Linked DNA regions of Ovis aries. The protein of the gene in region 4 interacts with the protein of the main gene of each other region in a pairwise test. Links are inferred from orthologs where the notes say so. Each region holds a gene or a part of one and is shown on either strand. Other genes may lie near its edges. The genes, in order: KIFC3, SNRPB, OIP5, TFIP11, FAM13C, SAP30BP and RRP7A.

What was found.
Region 1: the proteins of TFIP11 (region 4) and KIFC3 interact in binary tests that used the Homo sapiens proteins (3 or more experiments, as listed by UniProt). The link is inferred for Ovis aries from reciprocal best matches to the Homo sapiens genes TFIP11 and KIFC3.
Region 2: the proteins of TFIP11 (region 4) and SNRPB interact in binary tests that used the Homo sapiens proteins (3 or more experiments, as listed by UniProt). The link is inferred for Ovis aries from reciprocal best matches to the Homo sapiens genes TFIP11 and SNRPB.
Region 3: the proteins of TFIP11 (region 4) and OIP5 interact in binary tests that used the Homo sapiens proteins (3 or more experiments, as listed by UniProt). The two-hybrid records come from large-scale screens. The link is inferred for Ovis aries from reciprocal best matches to the Homo sapiens genes TFIP11 and OIP5.
Region 5: the proteins of TFIP11 (region 4) and FAM13C interact in binary tests that used the Homo sapiens proteins (3 or more experiments, as listed by UniProt). The two-hybrid records come from large-scale screens. The link is inferred for Ovis aries from reciprocal best matches to the Homo sapiens genes TFIP11 and FAM13C.
Region 6: the proteins of TFIP11 (region 4) and SAP30BP interact in binary tests that used the Homo sapiens proteins (3 or more experiments, as listed by UniProt). The two-hybrid records come from large-scale screens. The link is inferred for Ovis aries from reciprocal best matches to the Homo sapiens genes TFIP11 and SAP30BP.
Region 7: the proteins of TFIP11 (region 4) and RRP7A interact in binary tests that used the Homo sapiens proteins (3 or more experiments, as listed by UniProt). The link is inferred for Ovis aries from reciprocal best matches to the Homo sapiens genes TFIP11 and RRP7A.

The regions. Positions count from the first base shown.
Region 1 is NC_056067.1:25,344,597-25,348,739, forward strand, and holds the start of KIFC3 (kinesin-like protein KIFC3), read right to left. Parts: upstream 2,801-4,143; 5' UTR 2,518-2,800; coding exon of another isoform or gene 2,507-2,517; coding exon 2,335-2,506; intron 1-2,334. UniProt on the Homo sapiens protein: Minus-end microtubule-dependent motor protein. Involved in apically targeted transport. Required for zonula adherens maintenance.
Region 2 is NC_056066.1:52,396,632-52,399,692, reverse strand, and holds part of SNRPB (small nuclear ribonucleoprotein-associated proteins B and B'), read right to left. Parts: intron 1,428-3,061; coding exon 1,316-1,427; intron 1-1,315. UniProt on the Homo sapiens protein: Plays a role in pre-mRNA splicing as a core component of the spliceosomal U1, U2, U4 and U5 small nuclear ribonucleoproteins (snRNPs), the building blocks of the spliceosome.
Region 3 is NC_056060.1:34,994,549-34,998,546, forward strand, and holds the start of OIP5 (protein Mis18-beta), read right to left. Parts: upstream 2,801-3,998; 5' UTR 2,793-2,800; coding exon 2,471-2,792; intron 2,255-2,470; coding exon 2,188-2,254; intron 1-2,187. Other genes in the region: NUSAP1 (nucleolar and spindle-associated protein 1), read left to right, coding at 3,169-3,261. UniProt on the Homo sapiens protein: Required for recruitment of CENPA to centromeres and normal chromosome segregation during mitosis.
Region 4 is NC_056070.1:66,369,134-66,373,395, forward strand, and holds the start of TFIP11 (tuftelin-interacting protein 11), read right to left. Parts: upstream 2,801-4,262; 5' UTR 2,737-2,800; intron 1,142-2,736; 5' UTR 1,133-1,141; coding exon 924-1,132; intron 1-923. UniProt on the Homo sapiens protein: Involved in pre-mRNA splicing, specifically in spliceosome disassembly during late-stage splicing events. Intron turnover seems to proceed through reactions in two lariat-intron associated complexes termed Intron Large (IL) and Intron Small (IS).
Region 5 is NC_056078.1:14,369,152-14,373,351, forward strand, and holds the start of FAM13C (protein FAM13C), read right to left. Parts: upstream 2,801-4,200; 5' UTR 2,509-2,800; coding exon 2,447-2,508; intron 1-2,446.
Region 6 is NC_056064.1:55,225,602-55,229,101, forward strand, and holds part of SAP30BP (SAP30-binding protein), read right to left. Parts: intron 3,032-3,500; coding exon 2,971-3,031; intron 2,281-2,970; coding exon 2,229-2,280; intron 1,258-2,228; coding exon 1,199-1,257; intron 440-1,198; coding exon 359-439; intron 89-358; coding exon 4-88; intron 1-3. UniProt on the Homo sapiens protein: Plays a role in transcriptional repression by promoting histone deacetylase activity, leading to deacetylation of histone H3.
Region 7 is NC_056056.1:219,366,612-219,370,766, reverse strand, and holds the start of RRP7A (ribosomal RNA-processing protein 7 homolog A), read left to right. Parts: upstream 1-1,355; 5' UTR 1,356-1,374; coding exon 1,375-1,447; intron 1,448-3,336; coding exon 3,337-3,479; intron 3,480-4,155. UniProt on the Homo sapiens protein: Nucleolar protein that is involved in ribosomal RNA (rRNA) processing. Also plays a role in primary cilia resorption, and cell cycle progression in neurogenesis and neocortex development.

The DNA.
Region 1 (4,143 bases), on a different chromosome or scaffold from region 4:
CTGAAGCAACAGACAGGTGAAGAGTCCTCAGAGGTGACCGGGAGTGAGAAGGAGGGGATGGTCAATTACCAGGGAACCATGCCACGGAGAGATCCAATTGGAAGAAAGGTCAATGGAGCAGAACAGAGGGCAGACCTGGGAAAGTCTAAGGTGGGGTGGGGGTGGCCAGAGGAAGCTGCCACTTCCTTCTCTTTGGAGAAGTTGGCTAGGATGGGAAGGAGAGGATGTGGAATTTAGAACAGGAGAGATCTGCACATGCTGGGTCAATAGAGGAACAGGAACAACTGAAGCATTGAGAGGCAAGAGAAGGAAGACCCCAAGGATGGGTGGCCTGAGGTTGGCAGAGCTGAGCCCTGGAAGAATGCCAGGCTCTTGGCTAGAGAGTCCTGGCCTCTACCTTCCTTGATTAAGGAAGACACCTTGGAGGAGGAATCTCCTGGGTGCCCTCTCCCTGGCAGGGGTCAGGACTGCTGGCCAAAGGGCAGAGTGGACATTAATGCTGCCTGTGGGTAGCTCCGCTGAGGAAATGGAGATGGACGAGTGTGGAGTGGAGGGAACTGGGAGATGTAGCCAGACGTCCCCTTCTCCAGGCTACTCAGCAAAGAGCTGGGCACACAATCTGCCCTGAGGATCAGCTGCCCAGTGGGTAAAGAAGGAGGGAGTGAGACGGGCTCCACCTGCATGCTGAGCTGCTGGAAGGTGAGATGGCAAAGGGCACTGAAGGTCGATTCCATGGTTGAGGGAGACCTTCATGTGCTCTGTGCTTAGTTGTGTTGGACTCTGAGACCCTTTGGACTGTAGCCCGCCAGGCTCCTCTGTCCGTGGGAATTCTCCAGGCAAGAATACTGGAGTGGGTTACCATTTCCTTCTCCAGGGGATCATCCCTACCCAGGGCTCATCCCAACCCAGGGATCGAACCTGTGTCTCCTGCATTGCAGGCAGATTCTATATGCGCTGAGCCATCAGGGAAGCCCTGAGAAGACTTTTAAGGAGGTCAGCTAAGCCTGAGGGGCAGGGACAGAAGGACACATTATTTCCTGGCTTTCAGGAAGGGAAGTTGGGAGGCAGGAAGATATCAGGAAGAAAGAGGAAGGGTGTGTGCAAGATCCTGGAGAGGAAAAAGTAGCTGAATTAGCAGACTGTCAGATGTGAGAGTCAAAAGCATCAAGGACTTTCAAACAGCCCAAGACTGGAGACACAAAAACCTAGGTCTTAGGACGGGGTGATGGGGGCACAGCGTGGTTATGACCAAAAGCTAGTTCAGAGCCCGGCTGCACCACTTAGTAGATGTGCAACCCTGGGAGAATGACTTTGTCTCTAAGCCCCAGTATCTCCATCTTTGAAATGGGAGAACTCTACCTTAATAGGGTTGATGTAAAGTTTGGATGACACATATACACAACATTAAGAACAATACTGACATATACAAAGAACCCTGCCCCTCCCCCCCGCAAATTTAATGTTTCAGTGACCTATATCCAGCGGTGGGTGAACGCAGGGGCAGGCTGCAGGAGAGCCCCATCAGCCTCTCCAGGTTTAGGCCAGGGTGGCAGAGGTGCAGCCCTCTTCCCCCAGACCAGGGTTGCTGCAATGATTGGGGAATAGACTTGACAACTGCCCAGAGACCACTGCTTGGGGAAACATAGTCTTCGTCTCCCTGAGAGAGGGGGCAGAAGGTCTGGGAGGGTGGACAGGGGCTGGACCTCCCCTGAGCAGTCACACATCCTAGGTTTTGCAGGTCAACCCAGATTTCAAAGCCTCTGTCCCTTGGTGCCCAGAGGGAAAGCAGAACGCATTACCCCCACATCCCTTAAGTCCAGTCACTGCAAATACAGGGCCCCATTCTCAGACTGCATTCCTCACAAATGACTCTTTGGCCAAGGAGACGGCTACTTTTATCAAGGGCACAGGGAACAGCCTGGGCCAGCAGAGTTGCTGGCTCAGCCTCAGGAGGACAGAAAGCCAGAGAAGGCGAAAGGGCAGGTGTGGCCAGGACCCCCAACCTTGAGACAAATGTGTGTGTGTGTGGGGGGGGGGGGTGCTGATGACAAATGGTACTTGAGAATTTAAATACAGCTTCCTCTTTAAAATCTGCCAGGACCAGGCCCTTCACTGCGCCAGAGTTCCGCTCTAACTCACAACAGGGGGCTGACAGAGGTGGCTTCGGGCTGGCCCTCCCAGCTGGGAACCCCTCCCCACCAGGCTGCAGCTGTCAAAGGCTCAATTTCCCCACTGCCCAGGGGGACGCCGGCCCAGGCCCTCGTTCCTAACCTGCCGCTAGCCCACCCCATCCCGGCCCTGCGAAGGGGAAAGCCAACTGCCCAGAGGACCTACGCGGTGGGAGGGCTCGAAACTGCAGCGTTCGAGGGAGCCTTGCGGACCCGGGGACTTCGGCCCGGGGAGGGGGCGGCGCTGACCGGCACGCGGTTCCCTGGCAATCTCCGGCTTTCCCGGGCCATTGAAATCGGAAAGGGGGTCCCGAGGCTGCTCGCATTCCAGGGGACATGTCGCCCCCATGCTCTGATCGGCTCTGGCTGGACAGCGTGGGGGGCGGGGGTGGGGGCGGGATAGCGCAGGGCTGGGTCTCCCGGGCCCGGCCCTCCCCGCGCCCCACCTCGGGATTGGGCAGGGGGATCCCGGACGCGACACCCCGAACGACGGGCTGGGCGGAACCCGAGCGCCCAGCCCTCCCTCTTCCCGCCCGAGCCCCGGACTCACCGGCCTGGCGGAGGCAGGATCCCGGCGTCGCCGCAGCGCCAGGGGCTCGGCCCGGCCCGGCCCGCCGGCGGGAGGCAGCTCCACGCCACCGCCTCCTTGGCCCGCCCCGCTCCCGCCCCGCTCCGGCCCCTCCCGCACACTTTCCACAGGAAATGATTAACTCGGGCCGCGGCGCGTTCCCATGGCAACCGGCTCAGACCCTGGCGGGGGGCGGCGGCACGCGCGCGCGCTCCCGCGTGCACACACACAGAGACTCACACTCTCACGCGGGGCCGCCGGCTCTGCTCAGACCTTTCTTCTGGGTCTCCCGGCGCTCCGCACACGCCCGTGCACACGTGCGCGCTCACCCCAGACGCACACAAGCCGTCCTACGTGCTCACATACAATACACGCGGCTCTCACAGGTTTGCACACACGCTCTAGTGAGTCCACATGAACACATTCACAGTTCCCACACACATCCCGACGTTCGTTCCTACGTGTATGCTTTGCACTTAAACTGACATTCTCATCCACACCTCCTCAAACCCTAGTACAAAACTTTTGCACACACTAGTTACTACTACTAACACACAATTCTCACAAGTGCTCCCTTGCCACGCTTCACAGTTTCTCACAATCTGTAGTATACTTTTTTCTAAAACTTTCTAGCACACACACACTAGCTAGTATGTGTGCACACTTGCACATTCTCACACACTTCCAATGTGCACTCACATTCCTGTACGGAGTTCAGACTTTCCCCCTTGCTTTCCCACAAATGCTGTACATGCTTCTTCAGGTACTCTTGAACTCTTCCTCACATTTCACAGAGCAACATTCCTATGCTGCTAACCCCAGTACAGACTTTCATGGGCTTCCCAGGTGGCTCAGCTGGTGAAGAATCCACCTGCCAAGGCAAGAGACTTGGGTTCGATCCCAGGTCCAGGAAGAGCCCCTGGAGGAGGAGATGGCAACCCACTTCAGTATTCTTGCCTGGGAAACCCCGCGGACAGACGAGCCTGGCGGGTTACACTCCATGGGATTGCAAAAGAGTCAGACTTGACTTAGCAACTAAACAACACACGCTTTAGTGAGCACACGTGCCCATGCATGCACTGTCACACATCAGCACACGCGTTTTCACACGTGCATTCTCACTAGCTCTAGTAGGAGCACACAGGCCAGGTTGCCTCCCTAGCCAGGGCACCACCTGCTGCCCCCTGCTCCTGCCTGGCCCTGTTCCCCTCTCATACCCCACCAAGAGATAGATGTCTTGCAGAGCAGGGAAGCTGTTTGGGATTTTTAAAGGTAAAATATTCCTTTAATCTCCAGTGAAAACACATTCAGAATGCCAGCTTGGAGCAGACAGCAGCTCCTGGTGTAGGCCCAGACGGCCTTCCTCAGAGGATGTCCCAGAAGCAGCCTGGGGGAGGCAGGGAGCCT
Region 2 (3,061 bases), on a different chromosome or scaffold from region 4:
AAACACTATCCATTCCTGTTAACACCACTCTTCCTCCATCCAAGATTATATGCCCAGCAGGCTAAAAGAACTTAAGGGTTTTAAGTCAAGAGAAACAGGTACAACTCAACCAATATGCATTCCTATGAAAATCAAATAAACAGCCAAGCCTCCACCCCAAAGGGTATCTATGTTAGATTAGTGTTTTGACCCGACAAAGAGATATGAGGTCCAGTCCCAGCTCTGATTCTCACTTGGTGGGTAATAGTGGGGATAGTGGGCAAGTAATCCCACCATTCTAGTACTGCTTCTTCATCTACCAATGAAGAGGTTTTAACAAAACTGGTTGTGGTCCTGAAGGCTTACAATCGGCTACATTAGAGTAGCAAATTCTACTGGAAATAGATACCAAAGCTATGAATAGGTACCTAGGCCTTGAATCAGAAACATGGTAACATCCTTTGCATATAAGAGTCTAAACAAAAGGAAATAACTAGGATAAACTACTCTGCACTCACTTGAAAGTATCTTTAAGTCATTAACATGACTTTTGAATACAGCAACTGGAAAAATGTTTACAATGTTAAGTTAAAAAGCAGAATGATACACACCTATTACAAGTTTAAAAAAACCCAACATATATATATGTGGACAAAAATTAACACAAGGTAACAAGATTATTCCTTTAACAAACATTATCTTAAAACGAAAAAGGGGAAACAAATTTGGTTAGATTCTCTAAAGCCTCTCCTATTTCTAAAGGGAGGCTGATGTTAATGAACCAATACTGCTTGGAATCAAATGACAGTTTCACCACTTTCCAGCTGTGCCACCTTGTGCAGGTTACTAAATTTCAATTGGCATTATCTATAAAGCGGGAATAATCTATCTCAAAAGACTGTTACATGAATTAAATACTGAAGGGCGTGGCAAATAGCAGATGCTTAATTAAATATTAACTATTATTCTATAACTATACAAAAAATATACATGCATTCTATTGTTTGGAGTTACAATTTTTTATGGTCCAACTAGACTGTCATCACATTAAGAACTGATCCAGGAGGCCTTAGGTGCCTCTTCTATTGACTAGGTACATCAACTAAGGAAAAGAGGGCTTTAAAGTTACAAACCCTCAAATCCTAGTTCCTTACTTCTGACTTGCAAAGGAACCTCTTTAAGATTCTGGTTTATTATCTGTATAAGGGAAACAGAAACCAGAAGATACCTATGAGAACTGCAATGAAACAGAGAACCCCACACAGGGCCCAGGTCAGGGTGGCACCTCCCTTGCACAAGGTTCCTGGCCTTGCACTGGCTCTCAGTTCTGACTTACATCTTTTGGAGGTGGTCCCTCTACTGTCATTGAGACCAGGTTCTCCCCTCGAAGTAGTACAAGACCGAGGACTCGCTTCTCTTCTCTCTCTGCTTGCTTTGAGTTCTTTGGTCTAAAGACAGGTTTAGGAGAAGAAACAAAACAAAGCAAAACAGCATTAGAAAAAGGGTAAAGTTCATGTTCACCTACCTAGGGGCCCTCCGAGACTTTTTTTACACTAAATCTACTGACAGGCTAAACTTGTAACCTCCCCCCATTTGATGGTTGTCTCCCATGCCAAGAGAATGCACAGACCAAGAGACAGGACAAGATTCAAGAAAGCCCAGCCCTGGCTCACTCACAAAGCCACTGTGAAAGCCTTCCCTCAGTCAACTCTTTGTTGCCATTACCCTTTTTCTTCCTTCAGTTTAAGGCCTTAACAATGTCAGGAAGGCAGTCGGAACAATTCCTCAAGTCAACTGAATCCCATTCACTCTACTTACATGCAGTATCCTTCTAGTATTAATTCAGCCCCACAGAACTATAACTCTGTCTCTCACCTCATATTAGAAATAGAAGCCATAAAGGAAAAGGTTAAGAGATTAGCTACATAGAAATTACACTTCTATCCTCAAAGAACAAAAACAAATCTCCAAATATCCACAAGTAGAAAAGGATGAGCAAAATATAAACGAGATAGACTGGGAAAAAGTAATTGCAACAAGACAGGGAAAGGAAAGTCAAAGCCAATATCCTAAAGTTAAAGGAAATACAAAATATCTTGATTTTTAAAAATTACTTAAAGTTTTCATTTTAATGATATTTTATATAAATTTTCTATAGGTGGTCATTTTTTCCTCTTTTTTAAAACTTATCTATAGTTCTTATTTTTTTTAAAAAAAGCATGTACTGCCCTTTCACAATTTAAAAAAAAAATCCTTTCTGGGTCTCTTAAGTTTTTTCTCATATACTTCTATGTACTTTTACAAAATATTTTCTAATGGGCACATTTTCATTACCAGAATAAAGTTAGTCTCATTTAAAAATGTTGGCCACTCTCTAATGTACACCGGGCACTCAGCCATCACTACCATTTTCTGTCTTATACTTCTTGACCTCATGCCACAAAGAAAACAAAAGTCCCAAAGAGAATTAAAAGGAACTGACAGCCACTGGTAACACACTATGGACACTCCAGTGGCAAAAGAGAGCTGGATGGTCAAGGAAATTACGTAACTTCTTTGGGCCTCAAGATGCCTTTACTGTATAAAACACTAGACCACATCTTTTACCAGGCTAGAAGCTTAAGATCGGTGAGTCCTAAGACAAGGGAATTATCTAACAAATTATGGGACTGTATTCTCCAATTGTTTCTGTAAATGACAACAAAAATCACTGGCCCCAAACCCACAAGGGGAGTTGAGCACTTACCCTGAAGAGGGTCAGAGGCTTCTTAAAGCAGTTTCAGACCAGGCTGCACTGTGAGAGCCCTTTAGGCTACAGCTTTACAAATAGGCAATGAGGCCAGAAAATCAAGCTCTCCCCCCTTACACACCTGTGGGGAGAACATGAGAGCCCTTTACCCCAGTACCCCCGGGCACACAAAATCAGAGAAATAAAAAGCCTGGCAGCCCTACTTACAACTTGTACTCTGCTAGAAGTAAAGAGCAAGACTAAGGAAAGAGATTTAAGAAACTCTCCATTTTAATCTGCCCTGTAAAACAGGAGAGCAAACTGAGAGGAACCAGCCAGCTAGTCACCACCTAA
Region 3 (3,998 bases), on a different chromosome or scaffold from region 4:
GGCTACAAAAGCAATCATGGATACACAACTGTCACTTTGCAAAAGTAATTTATATCTGAAAAGCAGAAAAAGAGCTAACTAATCAGATTAACATTTAAACATATAAAACTACACATAACCATATAAATTAGCCACCATTAAGCCAATTTGCAGTTGAAGTAAAACAATCAAGTTGACTAGGGCTTATTAAGCAATTTATTAATAGAATGCAAATCAGGATTTTTTTGCAGATGTAACCAAAAACAATTTCCCAGACAAAATGAAAAAGAAAGAAATTTTATGATCCTAGCAAGTCATCTACTTTATTTTCCTTTATCCTCTAAAAGAAATGTGGTTTTAGTTCTATTTAAACCATTTGAGTAACTGATTGACCTTATTTGCTAGTATATAAGACAAATCTAAATATTACAAAGAAATGTTGTAAGAAAAAATTAACTGTCGTGCATGTACTAAAAGCGATTTAGAGTGGTTCAATGAGGGAAAAATTATTTGTATAAACATAATATACTATGCAGTAAAACAGTACTAATAAAGTATAACTGCATGGCTAAAAATAAACAAATTCATGTCAATGGACACTAAACAGGACCAAGGAACAAACGCACTAAACTTATTGGTAGATGAAGTCCCACACTACACACGCAATACTGTGTTTTTGGAAGTCGCACCTTTGGCTCATGGGTCTCAGGCCTGTGGACTTGGACTAGAACTAAACCTTTGGCCTTCCTGTGTCTCCAGCTTGTCAACCATGGCTCTTGGAACTTCTCACCCTCCATAATCGAGTGAACCAATTCCTGACAATAAATCTCTTCTTGCTGAATCCCATGGCTCTCCTTATTTCAAAAACGTAAATACATCGAACTTTCTCTCCAGTGTTTTAAAAGCCATCTAGATCTGTACTTTCTATAAGAATGCAAGCCATGTAAGTAGTTTCATATCTTCTATTAGTCTTGTTTAAAAAAAAAGGGTAAAAGTAACAAGTGAAATTAGTTTTAATATATTTTATGTGACCCAATATTCAAAGACATCATTTCAACATGTAATCAAGGGAATTCCCTGGGGGTCCAGTGGTTAAGATTGGGCACTTTCACTGCCCTGGCCAGATGTGCTCCCTGGTCTGGGAATTCAGACCCCACAAGCTGTACAGTGGGGCCAAAAACAAACAAAAAAACGACATCAACAACAGCAAAACCCATGTAATCAATATTTCTAAATTATTCAATGTTTTTGACTATTTTCAAAATCTTACGTGTATTTTGCACTCAGCATATTTCAGTTCAGAATGGCCACCGTTTTTAGTGCTCAGTAGCCACCATGTGACAAGTGACAGTACTGGACAGCACAGATCTAGCTAGATGTACTTCTCTCTAAGAAGATATTCAAAGAGCTTCTGCCTCGGGCCCCAAATGAACCAGTTCCAAGCAGGCCACCACTCTTTCCCAGTTTCCTTTGGGTGTGTAGACACTCCTGGAAGGATAAGGAATCTTTCAGCTGGGAAAGAGGAGCTACAGAAGTCTTCCTGGTTACTGAGTACAGCAACTAAGAATTCCTAAACGTACTCTATTTAACACTAAAACTGGACCAACCAATGGTCAAAATGAATTGTCTTGCTGTTAAAATCAACACTGAAAATTGAGGAGCTCTGTACTGAATTCACTGAGTACTTTGTTGTCACTTCTAAATCACAGTACAGATACGATGCAAAGTTCACCAGGCAGTATTCAAGGACCTAACTTTCAACCTGTGTTTTTCTCCAGGTTCCTAGGTTACAGCAGAATTAGTCCCGCTGTAGTTTATTACAAATTCCAGGTGTAATGCAAGTGTATATGTCCTATTATGTCAAAGTATTGCAGTTTATAAAAAGTGATTCACTTAAAGGTAATTTTCTCCCTTTTTCCCCTCCTAATTTTCTTAAATTCACTTCACTTGCACAACCCACGAGGGAAATGTGGCCCTCAGAAGATCTTAAAACCTTTACACAAGTATCTTTGCCATTTCATTAAAACATCAAGTTCGTACAAGACAATCAGGTAAACGGAGCATTCTTCAAGTACACTGTATGAACGAAACAGACATTTCTCCTAGTGGAAGATAGGAAAAAACTTCTGGTCCAAGTCGGTTCCACGCTCTTCAACCACAATAAGTCAGGGAATAACTAGAGACAGTTCTGGAATTTTCAGTACGTACCTGCCTTTGAGCGAACCTTCAACGCCAACTTGGAACTGAGGCTCCAAAACGACATTATTTGTGACTCCTAAAAGGCAAACACAGGTCAGAATGACTACCTGTGAGGCACTGAAAGGGAAAACCTCTCTCAGTCAGAAAAGCTCATCATGGTCACGAATATCGTAAAAAGTTATTCGCCCCCCCCAACCCCCCAGCAAAGGAGTTAAGTTCCTTCCAAATTTTCATCCTGCTTTCCTCCCAGCTGCTCTCAGTCACCCAGTGAGAAGGCGCCGCGCTCACTCACTGGAGAAGACCACGGCCCCGAGGGACCGCGAGAGGTCCCAGGCGAGATGCACAGAGTCAGCGAGCACGGCGTGGCACTGCGCGCACTGGAACACCGCGCACCTCTCGGGCTGCAGCCATCGCGGCAGCCGCGGGCGGAACGGCAGCTCCTCCAACCCCAGCCCTGCGGGGCCGACCGACGAAGACCCTTTCACCACCTGCGTGTCCCACTCCATGGAAGTCGCAAAAGAAGGTTCATTAATCGCTTTCTTAGTCCCATCACAGAAGTCACCCCGTGGCTGCTTTGCAATCCGAGAAACATGCCTCCGCGGCCGAGCAGCCATCTTCCCGCAGCCGGCGCCACCGTTTCAAAGACTATTTAGGCCCCACCCCAAGTTGGCTCCTGCGTCCTCATTGGACAACGTGAACGGGGGCTCTGCCGCGCACTTTGTTGCCTGGACACGCCGTTTGGCGCCTAGGTGTTAGGGCAGTGTGGAGAAGATCGTGGGTCAGGTGGAAGGGAAGTCAACCATCCTATTGGTCAGTACCAGAAGACCCCGCCTTTAACGGATTTGTAACCAATGGAAGTGCAGCTTACGTAATTTAAACTCTCTATAAATACCGGTTTGCTCAACGCTTTGAGTGGCGCCAGAGCGTTGAGCGGCGCCTTAGCAAGTTAAGTATCGGGCCTCCGCGTCGTTACCTGGATTGCAGTTCGCCATGATCGTTCCCTCCCTGGAGGAGCTGAACTCCTTCAAGTACAGTGACCTGCAGAACTTGGCCAAGAACCTGGGCCTCCGGGCTAACCTGAGGGTACGGGGCCGGTGACTGGGGGATAGGATATGCGGCTTCTTTGAGACGCTGTGGGAGGGGACCGAGCGGGAATTTCGAGGGCTGAGGCGACTGTCCCGGCCTTGGGGCGGTAGATTTTGGTTTACCCAAGGGTCCAAGTAACTGTGCAAAACCGAGAGGGTGTCAAAGTTTTCACCTTTGTTGAGGCTGACTCTTACAGGGACTCAGAAAGATGCCCGCCTCCAAAATTGTTTGCTTTGGTTTTATTGGGAGTACTCTGCTATTTATCAGTCCATCTGTTAGGAAAGGCAGGCCCTTTAGAAAACTAAAGGAATGCTGCATCTAAACGCCAATTAATAGGCGGTCGCGAAAAACTCCAAACAGCTCACACTTTTGTTAAATTGCCTTTGCTTCTGGAAAACTCCAAACAGCTAACAGTTCTGTTAATTGTAAGAGGTCCCAAAATTTCCTGCTACTTGAATGGAGGACGGAAGAAAGGATGATTTTTAGGGAACCTCCCCCGTGGATAAGTTTTTATTAAGTTAGCTCTGATTCAGTAGGATCGTTCGTCTATTGGTCATTGTTGTGGTAGTGTTCTATTCAAAACCGATGAGGTCTTTGACTCTGATACTGCGAAACGTTTGGGGGAAAATGTTCAATTCTGGATTGGATGTATATATTGTTCTGTATATTTAGTGGAGTTTTCCCACATAATATTAAAGTATATTCTGGAGATTTATTCTGCAAGCTGTAGTGTT
Region 4 (4,262 bases):
TTCTCTCAGCAGGTCAGTGAGACCAGGCCCGTGAGACCAGGACCCGCAGGTCCTGGCTGCTGTTACTATCTTACGATCATACACTCCTGCCCTGTGATCCACACTGTCCACTGGTAACATTTCTTGCCAGATGAAAAGAGGCTGAACGGATCTCTGCTCTTTCTCCCTGTCTCTTTTGTGGAAAATGTACAGTCTCAACGGGCTGGAGCATCCAGGCTTCAGGTGGGGACACACAGACTAACCTCAGTCTGCTACACAGTCTGCTCAAACACGCTGCAGCCCCCACACACGACTTCACACCAAGGAGGCGGCTTTCAGCCTGAACCCCCAGCCCACAGCTGCCCTCCCGGCCCAGTCTCCACCACCCGTCCCCGGACCACCGCCCGGGTCTCATCACACAGCCCCGCTTCCACTCTGGCTTCCCAGGGTCGTCTGCACACACACTCCCCCCGCCACGTCTCACCCCCTCTGCACAGACCACAGTCCCCTCCTTTCCCTCTCCCCCGTCTCCCCATAAGACCACTCACACCCTCCTGGGCGCCCTGCTCCTCCCATCAAGGGGCTCTGCTCCCTCCTGCCCCTCACCACTCAATCTTCCCTGACCTCCCAGAACGGGTCAACACCCGGAAAAGTACTCCCCCTCCGGTCCTACGTCAGTTACAAACTTCCATTTGTGAGCCTGCCTTCATCCTCCGGGGTCTGGGCTCCTGGAAGGGAAGGACTGGGGCTGCAGCACAAGGCTTTAGATACATGATCGCTCACTCGTGATCGATCGGTCAGTGAGAGAGCAGTGCTCTGTCTGAAGGAGGAACTGGGCTCCCTGGCTGAGGCCGCAGCTAAGGGGCTCGGGGAGGCCGGGAGAGAAGCGTACTTAGCAGGGTAGCTCCCCAACGCCTGGGGAAAGCGGTCCGCGCCAGCCATACCGTTTGCCTCCAAAGCTGGGCCTCTCCTCATCCGAGTCTCGCTCTGCCCACACTCCGTAGGTGGCCTCTTCCTTGGTCTGCCAGTGGCGCTGCCGGTTGGGGTTGAATTCATTCTGGAGATCCCAGTCGGTGATCTCAAAGTTCTCCCGCTCGTCCTCGTCATCATCCATGTGGCCTTCGCCGTCCCGGTACAGGTGGGACAGCGACATGGCCCGTCACTGAAGGGAGGCAGGGAAAAGGCACAGTTTGTGACAAGTCCCAGGGCAGCAGCAGAAGGCTGCCCTCACAACTTCCTCCAAACTAAAATCCACTGAAGTCACTGTTACAATTCAATAAAGCAGACGCTAAAAACGTATTTTACAAAACAGGTACCAAAACAGAATAAAAAAGACCAGTCCCAACAGTCCATGTGGATAAAAACATATTTCCTTCTCAATGTTGTCAAACATCACCCACACGCACATACACACAAACCATGTAAAAACAATTTAAGGATGTTACTCTACGGATGACTGCCTCACAAATGAGGCAAACATCTTCCTGGATATTATTTTTTTCTATTGCTGAGTGAAGAGTTTCATCTGGACTTATAACAGTTGAGCAAAGTGATTTCTTTTTTTTTTTAGAAAACACTTATATATAACCCTCAGGTTTTCTTCCCCAGACAGGAACCTCTTTTGAGGCACTAGAAGGCAGTAGTGATTATGAATACGACCTTAAAACAGCACACATCTGTGAACCGGAATGCAGCAATCCACTCAGGGTAGCTGGGTGATGAGATTCAGCTGTCTCTTAAGTGGATTAACTACAGTACCAACCTTAGAGAAGGCTTGTGCAGCAGAATCAATGAGATGGCTCTTTCAAAACACTTAGCTCACAGGAAGTGCCTGTTACTCTAGTCCCAGATTAGGTCTATGGCCCCTCCTATTACTGGATTAGCATGGAGCAAAGTGATTGTGAAAGCAGGTGCTGAAATCACACAGACCGAGTTCAAATCCCCACTCTACCTGGTACTCAATGCATGGATATTAAATGCAGACCATGTGCCAAGCATGGGGCACCGCAACGCAGTACATTAGGTGCAGGACAGCGCTGTGGCCTCCGTCTAGCAGCTGCAAAAAGCAGGCTTCAGGGACAGCCAACTCACAACACTTCTAAGGCGAGTTCAAACTCTGGTCAGCTCTGTGGGAAAGTTTTCCCTACTTAACTCTACTCAACTCACTGGTGCAATGGTTGGGTCCTGCCGGTCCCAACGTCATCCAGGCGCGAAAAAGGTGGGAAATACTCTCAGAGGAGGCGGCGTGTCCCAGATACATGGGAGTCGCCGATCACCGCCGCCTCCTCGGGCACAGGGCATGGTAAAAAGCACGGAGCTGTCACGAGTTACAGAGCCCCCAGGAGGTGCTAAGTAAGCCCTTGCTGGACGCCTCAGGCCGATAATCTAATATAGGCATCAAGGCACCTCTACGAGGGAGGTACTGCGAGCGCCTTCGAACCTCAGACTTCAGTAAAACGAGGCTGAGAAATTAACTTCCCTAGGCTCCACGGCTGGTGAGGCTTGACACCAGCTGAACTGCAGCCAGGGCTCGGCGTCTCGCTGCCGCGCCGTCCAGGCCCCGCGGTGGAGGTTCGGGGTCCAAGTCGGCCCGGAGACCTCGAGCGGCCCCGCCCCCGGCCCGCTGCGGCCGAGCTGTCTGCCAAAGGGAAGAGGGACCGGCGAGGCCGAGGCCCGCTTCCGCGAGCCAGAGTCCCCTCTCCTACTGGCACGGACACCCCCGCGTCCCCTGTCCGTCCACGCCCGGGCCCAGCTCACCTCTCCCCGGCTCAGCGGACCAAACTCAGAGCCCCACTCCGTGCGAGAAACGCGCCACTAAGGCGCCGGAACGCGAATGCGGCGCACCAGAAATGACGTCACGTCAGCCGATGTGACGCGCTCGTTGCCATGGCAGCAGTGGGACGCTGGGGCGGCTTTAGATTTAGAGCATTTGAGTTATTGATATGGTGAAGGTTTTCGCGGCCGAGAACGGCTAAGGGCTGTTTCTCTGTTGTTTCTTGTCGCGCTCACTTCTTCGTGACGCCCGCCTCTGACGACTGGTACGGACGTCGCCGAGCCACCCTGGCCGAGGGAGATTCCTTTGTCAGCCTGAGATTCTAAATCTGCAAAATGGGGATATAAGACTAGCTCCTGGGACATTTGTGCATGAGACATTTGCGGTGGCGTGGGGACGGCACATGACATTCAAATAGGAATAATGAAGGTCAAGACTGTCTCCTGGATCTTCGAGTCTCTCAGTATAAGCACGGTCGTGGGCCCGGAGCGGTTGCCTTTTACAGGAGTTTGATTAAGTGAAGGATTAAATGGGCAAACTCCCAAGTATTCTGCCAGGCAATCTTTTCATTCTCTTCCTTTCCAACAGGTTGGTAAATAAATCAGTTCACTGATCTAATAAAAATGTACCTAGTGCCTACAATGTGCCAGGCTCCGGGAATCAAAGGAACTGACAAGCAGGGACACTCCTAGAGAAACCCTCACCAGCTCTGGATTCCGCGTCAGCACACAGGCTCTAGAGTTCCAATCTCAGCTCCACCACTTAACAACTGTGAAACCAGGCAAGGCATTGATTACCTTTCCTGAAGCAAAATGGTTGTGATAAAATAGGTAAGCAATTAAAACTGTACCTGGTACATAACAGATGCTTAGGGAGTGTTAGCTGCTAATTTTACCTTTTATTTTCTCTCACTCTATCTGTATGATGAAAAGACCTAAGCTCAGTTCAGTTCAGTTCAGTCGCTCAGTAGCGTCTGAGTCTTTGTGACCCCATGGACTGCAGCATACCAGGCCTCCCTGTCCATCACCAACTCCCTGAGTTTACTCAAACTCATGTCCATTGAGTCTGTGATACCATCCAACCATCTCATCCTCTCCTCCCAGCTTCAATCTTTCCCAGCATCAGGGTCTTTTCAAATCAGTCAGTTCTTTCCATCAAGTGGCCAAAGTATTGGAGTTTCAGCTTCAGCATCAGTCCTTCCAATGAATATTCAGGAATGGTTTCCTTTAAGATGGACTGGTTGGATCTCCTTGCTGTCCAAGAGACTCTCAAGAGTCTTCTCCAACACCACAGTTCAAAAGCATCCATTCTTCAGCACTCAGCTTTCTTTACAGTCCAACTCTCACATCCATACATGACTACTGGAAAAACCATAGCTTTGACTAGATGAGCCTTTGTTAGCAAAGTAATGTCTCTGCTTTTTAATATGCTGTCTAGGTTGGTCATAACTTTTCTTCCAAGGAGCAAGCATCTTTTAATTTCATGGCTTCAGTCCCCATCAGCTGTGATT
Region 5 (4,200 bases), on a different chromosome or scaffold from region 4:
ATATGCTTCATTTCAAGTAATGAGTTAGCCAGGGCAACATAGGAAATGACCACGGAAAAATAACAGATGAGAGGGTACACAGATAGAGAACCAAGGCCAAGGCCATTCTGACCTTGGAAGAATCTGGGTAGGAAAAAGAAACTGAACTGGGCCACATTTGCACAGACACGGACAGGCAAGGCATGGGAAAAATTAAGAAGAGAATAAAATGTGTCCTTGAGTACCTCCCAATTCCACTCCCTTTGACTCTTAAAAGACCCCCAGCTGGCCAAGCAGAACCTTGTTAGGTTAAACTAGCTGATAACATAATTTATATTAAAATATTAATGACAATTTGAATCCACCTCCCAGGGACACAGACTTTTAAAATTTCCATTTTAATAAGGGTCACCACCAGAGTTCTTCATCCAAAAAAAAATCTCTAGGTAGAATTTCAGGCAGTAGAAAAGATAAGTATGTGTGGGTGGGTAGGAGGAAGTAGGCGTAGGGTGGAGATAGGAGAAAGGCGATGTTTTCTTTTATCCAGACCGTAGAATAGAGGCAAGTGCTGTATGCCAAGACCAGACCTGAACATTTATGAATCACCTGCTACTTCTATCTCAGTATAGCACATTCTGATCCTGCTGGCTTTAGGGTCATGCCTAAAGAACCAAGGAAAACTCAGAGGAGAAAATACTATATTAGACAATGACTAGTTATAAATGGCCCTAGACTGTACTGTTACACCTATGAAGGCTTGGTATGCTTCAAATATGCCCCTCAGATTTTTAGATTAGCCAGATGGCATCCCAATTGTCACTCAGTGCCTTTTAAAATAAATCACTGTCACTTCTCTGAAAACAACAACAAGGTCTTATGCAATCAGAACTCCTTGGGGACTGTCCAAAGACAAGGTACCAGACTTTCCCCAGCATTTAACTAAAACCAATTTTAAAACAATGTCCAGGTGAAATCTAAAACTAAGGAACTCCATTTTGAAGCTGCTATGCCTATGGCTGACTTTGGGGATTCAGCCACACCAGGTCCTGAGAGTCGGGCCCAGGAAGCTTGTGGTGCTATATGCACAGCAAAAGGAAGAAAGTAATACCCGTGTACCCAAACCAGCGAGCCACAGCCTCATCTCTGGCCTGCGCCTCTCCCCACTCTAAGGCTTTTAGGAAAGCAAAGTTATAGCACCGTTACCAAGCAAGTTCATTAACAGGAAGAAGGTTTCAATGAGTGTTTTACACTGGATCTTCGAAAATCAACCCTGGATCTTTTTCTTTTTTTAAGTAACTCCACTTAAGACAGCCCAAAGCTCAACTCTAAGAGAGTAGTATCCAGAGAAACAAAAGAATGTAAAAATCAAGAGGGCCTGGGAAGCCCTATAGTCCTCCATTACCAAGTCACTGATACAGTGACTTGAATCTCATATCATTTATTTGCCTGTTAGGGAACTTTAGCAAATAGCTCCCAAGCTACTGGGACTTCTGTATCAAACTTGCAGCATTTTTTAAATGTAGTTGAGCATATAACCATATACACCTCTTTTTCCTAAAAAACTATTTAGAGTAACTTCTATAGTAAGGTCCCAGAAGTAAACACCATGAGTTAGCCTAGAGAAAGACTGCTAAATAAAGCGTAGATATTTCATACATATATGTATATATGTAAATTCCATATCAGTTACATATACTATTAGCATAATATACTACCCACTAATTTTTAACATATACATATAATACAGTATTAGAAAAACATTAAGGAAAGGATGACAAGAATTAAAAGCATAAACTCTAAATATCTAATAAAAAATACCATGCATGCTGGTCTTGAGTAAAATATTTACACTCCTTCATTCCATGTTTGAATGGTATTACTTGTCCCTATCAAAAGCTTTAGCCGTAGGAGTAGATAACACAGTCCTACGATAGCCAGATCTCTGAGGGCAGCAGACAAAATCGACAAAGGGCATGCAAGAAAAGTTTACTGTCTTAAAAGTCTGTAGAAAGGAGAGGGTGAGGCTAAGTTTAGCCTATTTATCACATGCTGGAATTCAACTCGAGTCATTTCACATCCATCTCCTACTTGCTGTAAATGTACACAGCGTGCTCATGAAAACAGACACCAGTGTTGGCAAAACACAACAAAGCTTCCTTGCTGACATGTCAACGAGATTCATTTTTCAAAAATCTGAACTCCAAGAACACAAATATAGGAGCACTGTGCTCCCGTAAGCCATCAGTTTGCTTTAATAGCTCTCCCATAGTTGCTAAAAGGCTGATTTCAACCTGTAAAGATTTCTGGGCCCCACCAGCCCCCACGTCTCCCGGTCTTCACAGCCCCAGATTACAGGAGACAATGCATCTAGTACCCAGAGCAGCTGGGGACGGGGGAGGATACCTTCACGTTAGTTGCTTCCTGAGAAAGGCAGGCAAATCTTATTGTATTGACAAGAATCACTTACTCTGTTACAGCGGTGCTGCTGAAGGAATTATCCTGAAGGCTGAAACAGAAACAAGAAAACATCAGCCAAGTCCGGCCGGGGAGCCGTCTCCCTGGTTGCTCTCCGGGAGTTAGAGCACACACACAAACATGGCATTGCAAGGCCAGTCTCAGGGCTCGCCCGGCACGCTCGCTCTACCTTGGGCTGCTGTCTGCACATGCTCGTAACAACACCCCCAGCAGGGGCCCAGCCGCACGGGCGAACCACAAAGCCCGGCAGCCCGCGAGGCTGCGGGGACAGAGCTGGGCGGGGCGCGGCAGGCAGCCGCACCCGGGACCCCCGCGAGGAGCACCTGGAGCGCTTCTCCGGGACCTCAATCTCGCCAGCCCAGCGCCGCCTTTAATCCAGGCCTCCCGGTGCCGGCCACCCCCTGGAAAGCCCGACTGTTTCTACCCAGGTGCTGAAATCTCCGGGGGACTTGCTTTCTTCCAGACGTCTCCTACCAGTTTTACAAGAGCTACCCCCTCTAGGGATGGAGGCTCGCAGAGATGCACAGATCGTTCAGAAAAAGCTGGAAGGGAACCAGAAGGGGGAGGGGATCATAACTGCTGTTTTTGGTGTCTATGTTTATTGCCCAGGAAGAAAAAGAAGAGCCCTGAAAGAGGGCTGGTAGCATTACACCAGTCAGTCTGCACTCCCGTTATTTCAGTCCCCAAGAGGAAGCGCCCAGCCCAGGACCTCAAAGCTCTGAATGAACCAGCTCAAGGAGAGGGGAGAATTTATTCCAGGCATTAGCTGATGACTGGGGGGAACGTGCGCGGAGTGGGGCTTGCTCTGCCCAGGGCAGCTGGCCCAAGCTCCACTCCCAACCAGTTTTACAAAAGATGAGAGATCGAATCCACCTGCGCTACCCACTTTAAATGAAGGCAGCCCTACTGGGGGAAGGGAAGGCTGTCAGCCTCCCACTTGCCTCATTCCCCAGGAGATGTCTGTCCTGTTCTCTTTTCATTGTTAATTTCTCCTGCCTGGTTGACCTTGATGTGGAGTGAACAGTCACCTGGGAAAGATGCTTATTTTGAATTGAGAAGATCCTCATTCCCTTCTTTTAATCTCTTCACTCTCTGAAGCCACTGAGATGGTAGTTTTTAGTCTAAATTATATAAGATAATGAGTTAAACAACAAAAAAAATCAAAATTTAATTTTCAGATTATTAGAAAAATTATTCAAAACTTGGTAATAAGGGGAAAGAGCAAGATCTTTCAGTGTCACACCAAGACAGTGCTTCAGAGGTCCACCCAAGGACTGCTTAATTCTCTACAAAAATGGACTGTGTTTAACTTGCTAGTCACTCTTGGTTAGATTCCGGACACTACAGAGCTACGTGCTGGCATTGCACATTTTGTCTGATCTGTCCAGAAGAAAACCTCAGCGTTTATGGTTTTATTGCATTATGCAACTTGAACCAATTTTGTATCTAACCTAACAGTCTTATAACATTAATAACATTCTTTCTAAGTGCCTGTACATATTCAGTTCCTCAAAACACTCTTGGAACCAAGAGCATCCTCGTCTTACGCATATGTGTGTGTTTAGTCTCTCAGTTGTGTCCAACTCTTTGTGACCCCATAGACTGCAGCCTGCCAGGCTCCTCAGTTCATGGGGATTCTCCAGGCAAGAATACTGGAGTGGGTTGCCATTTCCTTCTCCATCATCTTATAGATACCCTCATTAAAAAGTTAATAGATCTCTGTTACCTGCCTATATTTGTATGAAA
Region 6 (3,500 bases), on a different chromosome or scaffold from region 4:
TACCTGCGACGGCTGTGCTGGCCGTGGTGGTGGTGGTGGCCGGGGCGTTGGTCGTGGTACCCTTCTTGGTGCCCGTCACAAACTCAATCTGGGGGCGAGAGGGACGAGCGTGCGTTAGGACCTGCGCATAGCGTGCATGCCAGCTGTCTGCTCCTGGGGGGACAGGAGGCAACCTGGCACCGCACGAGGGAAGCACTGAGAACCAGCTGTGACTGTCGAGTGGGGGAGGCACTGGAGAGGCGCCTGGAGAGGACGGTTACTCCCCGGAAGAGAGCTTCCCGCAGACACCGGGCCCCTCCCGCCACGGCCATCTCTGCGTGCTGGGGCACCCCTGCCCGCCCAGGCCCCGCCCTCACACCTCGGGGGAGGCGGTGCCCGTGCGCACAGGGGAAGGACAGCTCCGGCCCCCAGGTGCTGCAGACACGTCCCTGCAACAAGCCTGGGGTTTGGAAAGGGGGAAGGAGAGAGAGTTGGGAAATTCAATCAAGGGTTAAGACTGAGGACCCCTGATCGCCCCAGCACCATCTCCCAGAGGGATCAACCCTGTGGCCCCGGGGAAGGGGGTGGGGGACACACGTCCTGGAGGCCACATGTGCTGCGGGAGGAGGACCAGGCTAAACTGCAGGTGGAAGGGCGGGCGTCCTGCGGCTGTGTTCTCTCTCTCAGACTCCGGTCAAAAAGGGCACAGCCCAGAGGACTTGGTCTCATGGCCAAGTCTCCATCCCCTGAAGGACCCAGGCCAGAGGCAAGCAGCATGCTCAGGGTCCTGGCGTGAGGGGCCACCTGGCCATGGAGACACACGGAAACACTCAGGCGGGCTGCAAAGGCCAGTGCTGGGAGCCAAGGACGGCACAGACCAGAGCGCCCGTTCTCTGCTCAGGCCGAGGAGACTGCCGATGGGCCCAAAGGGAGAAAGCCCCCAGGGCTCGGCAGCGGTAAGGGTGTGTATCGGGAGGGGAGGGGACACAATGCAGCCAACATTAAGACCCCGAGAAATCAAGCGGAAGCAGCCTGGGAAGCGTCTTCAGGCTGAGTCATGGAGGCTTAAAATCCAGCACATCTAAGGCTGCTCAGAGCGTGGCTGGGTGATGAACCGCGGTGGGGGGCTGGGGGTGAGGGAAGCCCCCTGGCTCAGCCTGCAGGACCCATGTGCCCCAGACAGTTGCCCGCTTCATCAGGACATCCACCCATCACTTACTTTGGTTCGCTCCTTTTTGGCCTTTTCCAACTTGTCCATTTCAATCTTCTGGGCTTTGGCTATGAAGACAGGACAGGCAGTTACAGAGCAGCTGATTAAACAAGGTAATTCAGGCCAAAGAACCTGGACTGCCGCCTGCCGCTCTCCCGGGGCTGCTGTTTGCAGCATCTCTTTGTGATCGGCAGAGTCACGAGTCAGCACGAAGCCGGGCCTCACAGTCCAAAGGCCCTGAAGCTGGGGCTGCGCACCCCGTCTGGAGGGGTGAACTGCTCCTGGGCTCCAGCAGGCTGCAGCCACGGGGTAATGCTGGCCTAGGGAAACCACCTTCTCAGCAACCGGGTCTTAGATTTGCATCGTTTCTTTCCTGGCCTGGCTGCACGGCACGTGGGATCTTACTACCCTGACCAGGGAATCGAACTCGAGCCCCCTAGAGTGGAGGTCGGAGTCTTAAGCACCTGACCACCAGAGAAGTCTCTGGACTTTTAGATAAAACACTAGCGGTGAATTCAAATTAAAGCAAGACAGAACTTACAGGGGCCCAACCACACATGCCTGCGGGCCAGATCTGGTGGTCCACAGGCCACTGGTTTGGGACCTGGTACCCGAGGGAGCGGGCCCCTTGAAACTCCTCCCAGTCCTCGCAGCCAGGCCCCTGCACAGAGCGCTGCACTCCCGCCGGCCCCCTGCCTGGGACCCGTCCACACCTGCTCAGCCAGCCTCTGTGCACCTTCAGACCTCGTTCAGACACGGTGTCCTCCACGAGGCTGCCCACCCTGCCCCGGGCCCCGATGAGGTGGCCCAGCCTGCATCCTCATCACTCCACTCGTTATTCCCGGAATCTCTCCTTTGATCCTGTCTTCTTTGCTGTGTTGCAAGCTTAAGTCAGGGACAGGGGTCTGGATGGTTCAAGGCTGCATACTCAGCTCCTCAGACATGGCCGAACACGGAGGAGACCCTGAAACCTGTGTTGCCTAATGACTGGAGAGACAGACAGACGGATGGGTGAGCGGGCAGATGAACGGCTACCCACCTAATGCCTCATAGTAGGAGTCTTCAGACCAGCCATGGGGGTCAAACATATCCTGAAAAAGAAAAGTTCAAAGTTGCTGCTGCTGCTGCTGCTGCTAAGCCGCTTCAGTCATGCCCGACTCTGGGCGACCCCTGAGACGGCAGCCCACCAGGCTCCCCCGTCCTTGGGATTTTCCAGGCAAGAACACTGGAATGGGTTGCCATTTCCTTCTCCAATGCATGAAAGTGAAAAGTGAAAGTGAAGTCGCTCAGTTGTGTCTGACTCCTAGCGACCCCATGGACTACAGCCTACCGGGCTCCTCCGCCTGTGGGATTTTCCAGGCAAGAGTACTGGAGTGGGTGCCATCGCCTTCTCCATCAAAGGTGCAGAAAGGGCCAATAAATGGAAATGACTCAGAAACCACATGCTTCTCCCCACGTCTTTCCATGGATCTTCCTGGGCTGGAATCTCTGGCCTTAAAGGGCAGGGAGGCTCAGATGCTATCCCGTCTCCAGCCAACCCTTCTTAGGACAGTGAGGGCAGAGAAGCACTGTGGACAGGCTGATCTACAGGGCACGGCGAGTCCACGCTAGCCCCTAACCAAGCAGAGGCCCTGGGGCTCAAACAAGAGAGATGGGGACGGCTCTCCTCTGCTGGCAGTGTGCCACACGGACCTTTCAGTGGGTCCAGGTTGAAGCCAGTGGGGAGGGCACAGGGCCCTGGGTCCCCTCCCTCACCCGCTGCCTCTGCAGGTGGCGCATACCTTTGGATAGTTGGTGCCGAGTTCATCAATAGCACAGAACTGGATGAGCTTCTCATAGATGCTGAAAGAAGAAGGCCACAGGGTGCTGAGTAGGCCTGAGCCTGAGGCCCTGCGCAGCACCGGATCTCAGGAGGTCAGAGCCACTTAGCACTTGTGTGCAGACCAAGTCTTTAGCCCAGGTGAACTGTTCTAAACAAGTTTCCAAATGGGAGGGCAAATGTCCGCTGACTTGACATTAAAAGTCACTTCTGGCCTTCCAACCTTCCACAGAGAGGGACTGGGGCCAGCGGGCAGAGCGAGTATGATGTCAAGATGAGGTTTCAACTGGACGTCAGACTTTCAGTCTGTGGGGCTGGTTGGAGCATCCCCACTTAGGCCCACAAGGGCAAGGGCAGCTCTCGCCCTGGGCTCTTTCCTGGATGTGTCACTTGCTTGAACGTTGGAGAGAGTGAGACCCAGACACAGGTCTGTCTGTCAAACCTGCATAGAGTCAACAGCTTTCTAGAGGTAGGAGGACCTGGGGTGACCAT
Region 7 (4,155 bases), on a different chromosome or scaffold from region 4:
TAGACGGCAGCCCACCAGGCTCCCCTGTCCCTGGGATTCTCCAGGCAAGAACACTGGAGTGGGTTGCCATTTCCTTCTCCAGTGCATGAAAGTGAAAAGTGAAAGTGAAGTCGCTCAGTCGTGTCCGACTCCTAGAGACCCCATGGACTGCAGCCTACCAGGCTCCTCCGTCCATGGGATTTTCCAGGCAAGAGTACTGAAGTGGGGTGCTGTTGCCTTCTCCAAATCATACTAAAGATCAGGAAAATTTCACCCTGAAGGAGAAAAGAATGGATGTTAACTCCATGATGACAGAGATGTTAGTTACTGATAAGGATTTAAAAGCAACCATTAAAAATTCGTCAATAAGCGATTAACACAAAACAATTGATGGAATATTTGAACTTCAAACAATTGAAGAAGTAAAGAAAAACCACTTTAAGTTGGTTTCAGAAGTAGAGAAAAACCTTTTCAAGTTGAAAATACACCAAATTCCCTGGAGGTCCAGTAGTTAGGACTTTGCACTCACTGCCAAAGCTGTGGGCTTGATTTCTGGTTAGGGAACTAAGATCCTACAAGCCGCACGGTGCAGCCAAATAAAATTGAAAATTACAAGTACCATTCTCCCCCTCCCGCCCCCCCAAAAAAGTAATAGAGAGGAATCTGTGAACTTGAAGGTGAAACAATAGAAACTACCCAATCTGAACAATAAGGAAAAATAGACTTAAAAATAATGAAGGACTTTGGGGGCCTATGGTACTGTAACAAAAAGTCTAAAATCTGTGACATGAGTCCCAGAAGGAGAAAAGTAAAAGTCGAAGAAATAATGGTTGTTGGGAGTTCTCTGGTAGCCTAGTCGTTAGCAAAAATAATAACGATGTTCTCAGTGCATGTAAAGGAAATATTTAAAACAATTATTTTATAAATGGGAAAGGGCTGAGGGATATCTAGAGAAGGAATGTTTCGGCACTTAGAAATATCAACACTGATAAAATATCAACAATAGTATACTGTGGTAACTTTTTAATATATATATGTATTTACATAATAAACATTTACATACAAATGATAAATGTTTGCATATCCATGTGTTGTTTTACATACACGATATAATTATGTACTTTAATATAATTCCTTATTCCAAGAACTGGCGATGGACAGGGAGGCCTGGCGTGCTGCAGTTCATGGAGTCGCAAAGAGTCGGACACGACTGAGCGACTGAACTGAAGGTTGGGCCTTGGGAGGACGGCGGGACCGGGCAGGCGGGAACTAGGGGTCGCAAGAGGCGGGCCTGGAACCGAGAGGGCGGGGCCCCAGGAGGCGCCGTCGTCACGGAAACGGCTACCAGCGACCAACTACAACTCCCAGCATCCCCCGCAGCTTCCGGTCGGCAAGATGGTGGCGCGCAGAAGGAAGCGTGCGGCGCGGGAATCTGATTCGGGGGTTCCAACCCTGCCCGGCTACTCAGGTAAGGGGCTGCGGGGCGCGAGGCTGGGGAGCGGCCGTGCTTCTCCACGAAGAGCCTGGGGGGTCGGCAGTGGGTCAGGACCCCGAGGAGCAGTCACACGCTTGGACGTGAGCCCCAGAAGGTTCTGAAGCCCCGGGCCCCCTCAGCCCACGCGGCACCTGTTCTCGTCTGGGTTCACTTGGCTCGGGACGAGCCTAGTTTGGCCAACGCTTTCCTTGAGTGAGCGCACCTTCGTCTACACTTTTCCAGGGCGAACTTGTGTCTGTCTGTATTCTCCCCCCTGAGAGGCACCCATCCACTTATCAGCCCCTTTTTGCAATTTCTGGTCCAGCCGCGTCAGCGCTCACCTCGCCTGTTCCCCTGCCTTCTGTTTTTCACTCAGCTGCCAGAATGTTCTTTCTAAAGTCAGATTTAACTCAGATCTTGCCTCACACGCCCATCCCCGACGAACTCTCTGCAGTGACTAAAGTTAGCACGTAAAACAAAATCCAGACATCACATCCCTCCTATCCTGGCTCTAGCTGACCTACAAGCTCTGTCTTTCTGTTTCTCCGAGACAACAAGCTCTTTACACCCACAGAGTTTTTGTACTTACTGTGTCTTTTTCCTCTGAGTTCCTCAGACAGCTCTGCCCCGTTACAGGGCTTCGTGTCATTCTGGTCGAAGCTTTAATGTTACTTCCTCAAAGAGGTGGTCCTGATAGATGTCTAAAGGCCTGTGTCACCCAGTACCCTGCACTACTTCACTCTGTTTCCTTCCTGTTTGGAATTTTATTTATTTTTGGCTGTGCTGGGTCTTGGTTGGTGCTCCGGCCTTTCTCTAGTTGCCAGGAGCGGGGCTGCTCTCTGGTTGCAGTGCGCCTCTCATTGCAGTGGTTTCTTTAGTGGAGCCCCGGCTCTATCTAGGTGGCATGCCGGCTTCAGCAGTTGCTGCTCCGGGGCTCTGGAGCACAGACTCAGTAGTTGTGGTGCCCAGGCTTAGTTGCTCTGTGGCATGTGGGATCTTCCCGGATCCAGGATCCAACCTGTGTCTCCTGCATTGGCAGGTGTATTCTTTACCACTGAGCCTCTGGGGAAGCCCCTGGTGGAGGCTTTAATGTTACTTCCTCAAAGAGGTGGTCCCCAAAGGCGTCTGTCACCCATTAGCCTGCTCTACTTCACTCTGTGTTTTTCCTTCCTATTTGATACCACCTTGTTACATGCTGACTTGTTCTGTCCTCTCACTTCACTACGTGAGCTTCCTGAGTGCAGGGTTGCAGCTGGATCCTCTGGATCCTCTCCGTGCTCTCCGTGCCCCAAGAGGTGGTGTCTGGAAGTTTGCATCTCTTGTGACAGGATTAAAGTTTATGGGAATGCCAGCGATTATCCAAATCATCACACAGCAAGGGGCTTAGAGACCGAGAGAGATGTTAAGGCACAAAGCGGGTAGCTCTAACCTGGCATGTAAGGCTCTCCTGAGGGAGTAAGGACCTGAAGAATGGGTGGAAGGATGAGGGCTGATGTTTCAGAGCAGCATGGGTGAGGCCCTGGCTGATTGGAGGAACAGAGAGGAGGTATGTGGTGTGGAGAGGGGAAGATGGGGTGAAGAGAGGCTACACGGGGGACCGTGGTAAGGATTTGGGGTTTACTCCCAGAGCAGCAGAGTTTGAACCTCTCTCCTTTCGCATCCCATTAAAATTCTCTCTACTGCCGACTGGAGCCCCTCCTGGGCAGATGGTGTTCGTTCAGCTGTGTAGCCTGCCGAAGCATCTTGCACAGGCCTTGCCTAGGAGAAGAGCTCAGTGAAGGATGGATGGGTGGATGGGCGGACCAACAGGCACACAGGACTAAAAAGGGACAGCCTGAACCTGACTCGTGTGTCGTCCCTCCCCGTTCCCACGTTCCTTCCAGCCATTCCGATCAAATTCTCTGAAAAGCAGCAGTCTTCTCATTACCTCTATGTGAGAGAGCACAAAGTTCGAGAAGGCACCAAGTCTTCCTGGCCTCAGAAGCGGACTCTTTTTGTCCTCAACGTGCCCCCATACTGCACAGAGGTAAACGGGTGTCTGGAAGGGAACCTGAGCCTGGGGCAGGGGCTCCTGTGGGCCCCCCACCCCCCAGTCCTCAGTGATGAGAGGGAAGCAGCTAACTGAAGTCCCGAGGGGTGGTGTCTGGAAGTCTGCATCTCTTACAACAGGAAGTTGGCATTTTAAAGATGTCCTTTTTTAAATATAATTCTCTAGGGAGCCCATAGCTTCTTATATGTTACCCAGAATTGTTTGAGTTACGTGTTTTTTCCCCGATTATAAAATTGATACATGTCCATTGCAGGTAGTATTATAGTACAGCTAAAGTCTTCTGTTGCCTAAAGTAGTTGTTGCATAACTATGTCTGCCAAGCATAATTCCACCTGAAGACAGATACACTTGAAACCAAAAGTGTTAGTCATTCAGTCGTGTCCTACTCTTTGCAACCCCATGGACAGAGGAGCCTGCCTGTCCATGGGATTCTCCAGGCAAGAATACTGGAGTGGGTTGTCATGCCCTCCTCCAGGACAGACACTTGTTCTCACATTTTTTCTTGAGTATTGTGAAGGTTGTGCCAACTACTTGTGTGAAGTCTGACAACATAAACATTGTTTTGTTTTTTTTTAATTGATCCGCATCCATAGTAAAAAAAAAAAATAAGAAAAGTAGGAGAAAGTAAAATTACCTCTGAGTCTACTATTCA